Tribolium castaneum: one gene and its partner. The protein of the gene in region 2 purifies or fractionates together with the protein of the main gene of each other region. This does not show direct contact. Links are inferred from orthologs where the notes say so. Each region holds a gene or a part of one and is shown on either strand. Other genes may lie near its edges. The genes, in order: Trmt112 and probable 18S rRNA (guanine-N(7))-methyltransferase.

Evidence for each region.
Region 1: the proteins of probable 18S rRNA (guanine-N(7))-methyltransferase (region 2) and Trmt112 purify together in Homo sapiens (affinity purification with mass spectrometry; 5 studies listed by BioGRID and IntAct, counting the BioPlex papers as one, with this or other methods). This does not show direct contact. The link is inferred for Tribolium castaneum from reciprocal best matches to the Homo sapiens genes BUD23 and TRMT112.

Annotation. Positions count from the first base shown.
Region 1 is NC_087394.1:6,130,748-6,133,441, forward strand, and holds Trmt112 (multifunctional methyltransferase subunit TRM112-like protein), read right to left. Parts: upstream 1,499-2,694; 5' UTR 1,330-1,498; coding exon 1,252-1,329; intron 1,143-1,251; coding exon 846-1,142; 3' UTR 825-845; downstream 1-824. Other genes in the region: uncharacterized protein LOC656340, read left to right, coding at 1-175; uncharacterized protein LOC655985, read left to right, coding at 1,788-1,995, 2,042-2,211. UniProt on the Homo sapiens protein: Acts as an activator of both rRNA/tRNA and protein methyltransferases. Together with methyltransferase BUD23, methylates the N(7) position of a guanine in 18S rRNA.
Region 2 is NC_087401.1:7,779,546-7,783,928, reverse strand, and holds the start of probable 18S rRNA (guanine-N(7))-methyltransferase, read right to left. Parts: upstream 3,092-4,383; 5' UTR 2,949-3,091; coding exon 2,913-2,948; intron 2,867-2,912; coding exon 2,829-2,866; intron 2,777-2,828; coding exon 2,404-2,776; intron 2,354-2,403; coding exon 2,143-2,353; intron 57-2,142; exon of another isoform or gene 1-56. Other genes in the region: Cdc45 (cell division control protein 45 homolog), read left to right, coding at 3,306-3,356, 3,402-3,761, 3,810-3,986, 4,041-4,383.

The DNA of each region.
Region 1 (2,694 bases), on a different chromosome or scaffold from region 2:
AGGCCCCCAAGCCCTAAGTAGAGGCCCTAACCGCTCCCTGCTCTCGCAAAGAACCTACCAAGCTTGTGGTTCAAACCCAGAACTGCGCAAAGGCCCCAAACAAGGCCTTGCCAAAGGCAGCATTTTCTCCCAATTGAAAAATGTCGCAGTTGGGGGCGAGTCTCGGGGAAAGTAGCAGTTCATGTGTACTATTATTTAAGTCGTTGTAAATAAGTGTGCATGCAGTGTTTAAAAAAAAACGGCAAAGCTTGAGGATATTGGCATCGAATTATTCAGATTGATCTGCAATTTCACAACCAAAGATTTTGTTACTTGTACAGTGTTCACAAAAGAACGTGCATCAAGAGTGTTGTATGAATACGGAGGACTATAAGTTAGGAGACGATTTTTTTAACCCAAAAAAATATGGGACAGACAACCATTTTAACTACGCTCTCTGGCGACGTTAACGGAACTATCGAGGACGGGAACGTTTTATTTGTACGTCATTTCTAGATATCCATAGTTTCCCGAAATCACAGCACTCTTGCACGTTTTTTTTAATAAACACTCGGAGCAATGTAGTGATCCAGAAACGCATCCTATTTTTTGGAAGGCTGTGGCTTGTAACTTATGCCGCCCACTTGAAATACCTGTGCCCCCACATATCCAGCTATATCACGATTTCAAGTCCCCTAATGTACCCCAAATATTTTTGTACTGTAAAAATTGACAAGACATATTTACACGCTGTTAGATAAAGTGTGCAATTTTCGTATTTTCTTGGTAGCTGTACAATGTCAAACGCTTTCAATTGTACTGTGTCTCAAAATAAAATGCCTTCATGGTTACTATCACTGTTTTATTTACACCTCGTCCTCATTCAGCAACAAATTCGGGATCCCGTTATTTATGGGAAACTTCCGTCCGGTTTCGGGACAGATCAGCTCGCCGTTGATTATATCGATCTCCAGCAAGGCGTGATGGGCTTTTTTCAGGAACTCGTGGTCGTTTTCGTAATTTTCGACCACGTCCTTCGGGAGCCCCTCCAGTTGGCCTATGCTTTGGGCTGCATTGTAGAGCACGTTCCAGTCCACTTTTGGGATGATTTTGGCCACGAAGTCCGGGTTGAAGTCCACTTCGGACACTCGCACGTCCGAAGCCTGAAATTTTGGGAAAAAAATTGACATAACCTCAAACAACACAAGTCGGATTTAGCCGATTTTAGGGGCGTTTTTCGCCTGAATTGTATTAAAAACGTAAAGTACTCACGTTAATACCAAGCGGGTACCCCACAGTCACGACTTTCATGCATTTGGAGGTTAGCATGTTGTGGGTTAACAATTTCATTTTCCGATTTTTGTGTATTTACGTGTATTTTTCACACCAGTGGACAATTAATTGTTTAAATCGGCCAGTTTTTCGCGTGAGACACTTTTTGCGCTCTTGGATGCTTACCCCATCACTGATTGATTTACAATGAGCTTTTGGTTCAAATTTCGCGCCTCGCTTCGAACGGAACTTGGTGACTCTTTAACAACTATTTAACCGTACAAACAATTGAATCAAGATTTTTGAACCGCCGTAGTTATTTTTTTGAAATTTGTGATTAATTTTTGGTAAGTTTTATCAATGGGGGCCGTTTTTTGCCCAGTTGGGTGAGAAATAGTTGTGGTTTTGTGGTACTTGGTTGAGGTATTTCCGGTGCATCCCAACGCTAAATCCCCAACTCGTCGCCATATTGCAGTTAGTTATATTTCGGCTTTTTAGTAACTTAGAAAAATAACCGTTTGCTGTTGGCGCGTGAAATGGAAAGCGAAGAGAGTGAGCAAATTCAAGAAGTTGAAGAAGAGTCTCAAGATTCGCAAGAATTGGCCGAAATTCCGGTGCATTTAGACGACTCGTCGGTTTCTTACGCCACATTGAGTCTATCAAACAGCAGTTCGAATATCGTTAGAGGAAAATATTACAAACAGACGTATCGCCCAGCATGGGAGCAAATGCCCGATTTTAAAGGTGAGAATTGGGGGTTTTTGTCGAGGACTTGACGAATTTTTCGAAGGTTGGCTTAGAGGAGTCGTTGGGGAACCCACGCGGGCCTATTGCACCTACTGTCAGAAAACGCTCCATGCCCATCGGTTGAGTCTCCTCAAACACACGTGTACTATCAGACACCAAAAAGCGGCACAAATTCATAATAATAGGAAGGTAGGAAAGCGTTCCGTACACAGGGTGAGTCATCAACATCATCATCAAGTCGCTTGTCTTGAGTTTTGGCAATAAACAGTTGGCTTTGTTTATTTGACAATTATTACCACTTGATTCACATTACTTTAAAAAAATTGTTCAAAAAAGCAGGCCCTGGTAGGTTGTAGTCAGGGTTGTGACGTAGATATTGAAACGTCGTTCTACAGTATAACGACGCGTAGTTTTTGCACATTTTCTACGTCATCAATCCAAATAAATTACCGAAAAATTACACTATTTTTTACGTCAAAATTTGGTAGCATTTATTTGTTCTCAAGAAGAGAAAAATGAATCAAAAATGTTCTATTACTAAATACATATCATTATTAATTAAGTAAGTTCTTTTACCATCAGAAATTGTAGTCAGTAAACAGTAAAACAAGACAATTTTCTATTATTTTCTTTATTTGGCAAAACAGATTAGTAATAAACAAAAAATAAAATCTATTCTCAAAAAAAAAATAAATA
Region 2 (4,383 bases):
CAGATTTAAGCTCTGGTTCTCGAAAGAGAGCGTGGGTTCGAACCCCACACCTGACAAATTGAACTTTTTGTTTTTTTTATTAACATTTTACATGTAAAAATTTACTAAATTATTTTGCAGCAGCGTAATCCACACAAATCACATATTTCAAATGATTAATGATTTAATTTATGTTTAGTAGTGTAAAAAAATTATCACTGAATTAATCGGAATTGTTCAAAGTAGGGGGAAGTGGGTTCGAGCCCCGGTGACGGCACACGGTTCAACAATTTTTTTTTCTGTTAACTAATTCAGAAAACTTAAAAAATGACAAAACCGAATGCGTGCGTTTCTAAAATCTAAACCATTCTAAAAATAAAATTTGTTTATTTTTTCAATATAAAGAAGCGTTCTAGTCAATTTTTAAATTTATTTGTTATTTTTATTTTTATTTTAATTTAACAAGTAGCAGTAGTTAGGATATGTGATCCCTAAATTTAAAAAAAACAACTCAAATTTTGACTTTTTTACCTGTTTCTTCAATAATTTCCAAACTAAAAATGTAAAGGTCAAACTTAAATTAGATTTATTTTATTTGTTTCAAGTCTGAACTCTGTTGATAAAACAAGCGACTGGAAATTTTGTTTTACCTGATGAAAAATAAAAATGTTTGGAAAAGAAATTGTGTTGCTTTTGATCACCTATGAATTACTTTTCTGTTAGTATTTTGTTTTTTAATTCCAACACAAGATTTTTTTAACTTAATGACAACTTTCCAAATTTGAATAAAATCTTTGAAAGGGGTACCAATCTTAGAAACGCAATGAATTCCTGTTTCTTATCTTTGGTCAATTTCTAATGTATGTTTAATCGTAACAAGACTAGGTTTTTTTGCAAAAATTGGTTGAAAAATCATCGAATTGGAGCGAAACTGACGTTATTTTAGCTTGTTTCACTGAACTTGATTCTCTGTTAAACCAGAGATTCGTTTATTTTGCAAAATTTTGCCAAAAAAACGAAGAGAAAGTGAAATTGACGTTATTTCATTGCTGCAAATTTATTTAAATTTTTAAATTTGTTATTTTTATTTCATAAAATTTTATTTTAACAAGTAGCAGTAGTTAGGGTATTTGATCCCTAAATTTAAAAAAAACAACTCAAATTTTGACTTTTTTACCTGTTTTTTCAATTTTTTTGGAATTGTTAATTAATTAGACAAGTTGTAATTCCAGACTGATTTTTTTAATTAGCGTGTTTCTTGACGAAACTTAATTCTTATAGGTGTAGGAGGCATAAAAAAGCCAATATAAATAAGAAAATCAAAAAAATCCCAGGTTCGAATCCCGCTGAGAACTTTTTTTTTCAATAACTGTGTCTACAACAAATCCAAGTGCTTTACTATCGGTGTTTTATATCAATTTCAATCAAAATTATTATTATAACAACTCAAACTTTTACTTTTTTTACCTGTTTAAAAAATTTTTTTTTTGGAATTGTTAATTAATTGGACAAGTTCGTATTCCAGTCTGTTTTTTTAATTAGGTTGTTTCTTGATAAAATTTAATTCTCATGAGTGTTGGAGGCAAAAAGAAACTAATAAAATACAAAAACAAAAATCACAGGTTCAAACCCTGTGCTGAGAACTTTTTTTAATAACTGTGACTATTAGCTGTTTCAAAACAATAAAAACGCCAACGTCGCATTTTTTCTCAAAATTAGCTGTTATAAATTAATAATGCACTTCAAAAAAATAATAGCTTATGTAATTTACACTTTCAATCACACACCAAACCATTAATAACTATTTTACAATTTTATCAATCTTATTTGAAAAAATTATTTGGTAAAATGCGACGTTGGCCTTTTTATAGTTTTGAAACAGCTTATACAACTAATTTCAAGTGCTTTATTATCGCTAACAACTCAGACATTTACTTTTTTACGTGTTTTTTTTTTTGGAATTGTTAGTCAATTGGACAAGTTGAAATTCCAATCTGATTTTTTATTAGTTTGTTTATTTATAAAAAAATCTCACGAGTGTTGGAGGCAAAAAGAAGCCAATATAAATCAGAAACTCTAAAAATCGCAGGTTCGAATCCTGCTGAAAACCTTTTTTTTTCCATAACCATTCCACTTTTAACCAAAATTAATTCTGTAACCCACCTTGTGATTCCTCCTCTGTCCCCAATCCCTTCGGCAACGGCATATTTCCCCCTGTCATCAAGACCAAAAAAAACTTTTTCGCTTTAGTTGAATTCGGAAAATCAACAACAACCCCGCCATAAAACCCCGCTTTCATTGCTTGTGCCGTAACCAACTCCATTTGTTCGCTATTTTCGGGATAAAACTGAAAAACGGCCCGTGCTGACCGGCTCTAGAACCCCAACATGACAAAAAACCTCTCACAATTAACCAAACACAAACCAGACACGCATAAAGACTGCTAAAAAACTTGTAAATCCTTTGAACGGGATTGTGCGACTTTTTATCAGCATTGCACAACCACTGCAACGCGCTTATGCTAATCGCGCCATCGAACGACCCGGCCCGAAAGGGGCACCCTTGCCCCATGTCTGACAACAAAACGTCCCCCTCGACCTCCCTTTCAAGGGCCACATCTAACATGGCCTTGGATATGTCCATACCGACCCAGAAGTGCCCCTGATCCTCAAGGACGCTCCCGCTAAGCCCCGACCCGCAACCTATATCAAGCAAATAACACGGCTGGTCTTCAGGCAACAAAAGGAGCTCAACTGCACGCTCACTCATCTGCATTTGAATATCAATAATTCGAGAACTAAAACGAGTCACAATGAGTAAAAATTGCAAAAAAGCGGCCGTTTCTATACTTTTGAGTGTACTTCCGGGCCTCATCTTCGTTGTAAAACTAAAAGTTAGGTTAGGTTTAGGGTCAGAATTGGGGGCGTACTTACGATTTCGGGTGGCGCCAAGTGCTCAGGACGCGACATTGGTGTTTATTTAGGACCAAAACAATAACAACACATGTGCTATCTTAGGATTAAAAAGTAATCAGAATTGAGGTTAGTTAGGGTGAAAATGACCACTAGGGAATTTGTCTGTTTTAATTTCACGAACTCCGACCCGAACGTTTGTGTAGTAATTACAATCTGCCATCTATTGTGTTACTCATGGTATTTTGGGTGATAGTAATTGAATAGCGTTCAATTCCATTCGTCTAAATAAATTAGAAACGCAAAAATAGTTTTATGTTGGTACGGCTGCCCCTCCACCTTGCCCACCAACGGTTTGTTTTGGCGCTTTGGAGGTTATGATGCCCCATTGTCGGATTTCAAATTGTGTTTAAAATGTACGTTGAGAATTTAAAATTGGATTTTTACGAATTTCTCACAGGCAAAGTAAGTCCCCCTTTTAATTGTCGCCCACTTAGCTGCCCCTTTTAGCGCATTTTGTTAATGGTCCACTACGACATCGACAGCATTTGTGCGTGTAAAATCCTCCAAAACCTCCTAAAGTACAAGGAGATTCTCTACACCCTTGCCGTAATCCGAGGCGTCGAGGACCTGAAGCGCTCGTATCGTGAAAACAGCAACGACGTTAAATATTTCGTCTTGATTAATTGTGGGGGCACTGTGAACCTAGTCGACTTGTTCGAGCCGGAAGAAGACGCGATTTTTTTCATCATCGACTCGCACAGGCCCACACATTTGGATAACATTTACAGTGACGGGCAGGTCCGGTTGTTGTGGACCTCAGAGGAGGACTTAGAAGTGCCCGACTTTCACGCAGTTTATCGTGACGATGTCAGTGGCCCCCTTCTTACGGTCGATTTTTTTATCGTGTGATTACAGAGCGATGAAGAAAGCGACGAAGAACCCGAAAGTGGGGACGAAGATGAGGGAAGAGCTGCCAAAAAACGGAGATTGAACGAAGAAGCGATTCTAAAACGACGCGAACGCAGGCTTTGGGAAGCGAAACGTTTCGATATCATTGCGGAATACTCGCAATACACGTACTACAACAAGGCTGTAAGTTTTTAGTCGATTTTGAAATTAAGTTGGTGACACTGATTTTTTCTCCAGAGCGCGATCGCGATGTTTAAACTCGCGTGGTTTTTGAATAAGGACGATAAGGACTTGCTTTGGTTGGCAATCGTGGCGCTGACAGAACAGTACATTTTAGGCAAAATTGAAAATTCGCAATATGTTCTTGCAGTTGGGGAATTACAGTCGCATTCAAACCGATTAAGGAACAGATCGAATGATACCGACGGTTTAACTTCACTTAGAATCACATATGAGAACGATTTGAAATTAGTTCTGTACAGACATTGGTCGGTTGAGTCTAGTCTTAAGTATTCAATGTTTACGGCGTGCAAATTGAAGTTGTGGTCGCATAGAGGGAGCAAGAAATTGTACGAGTTGC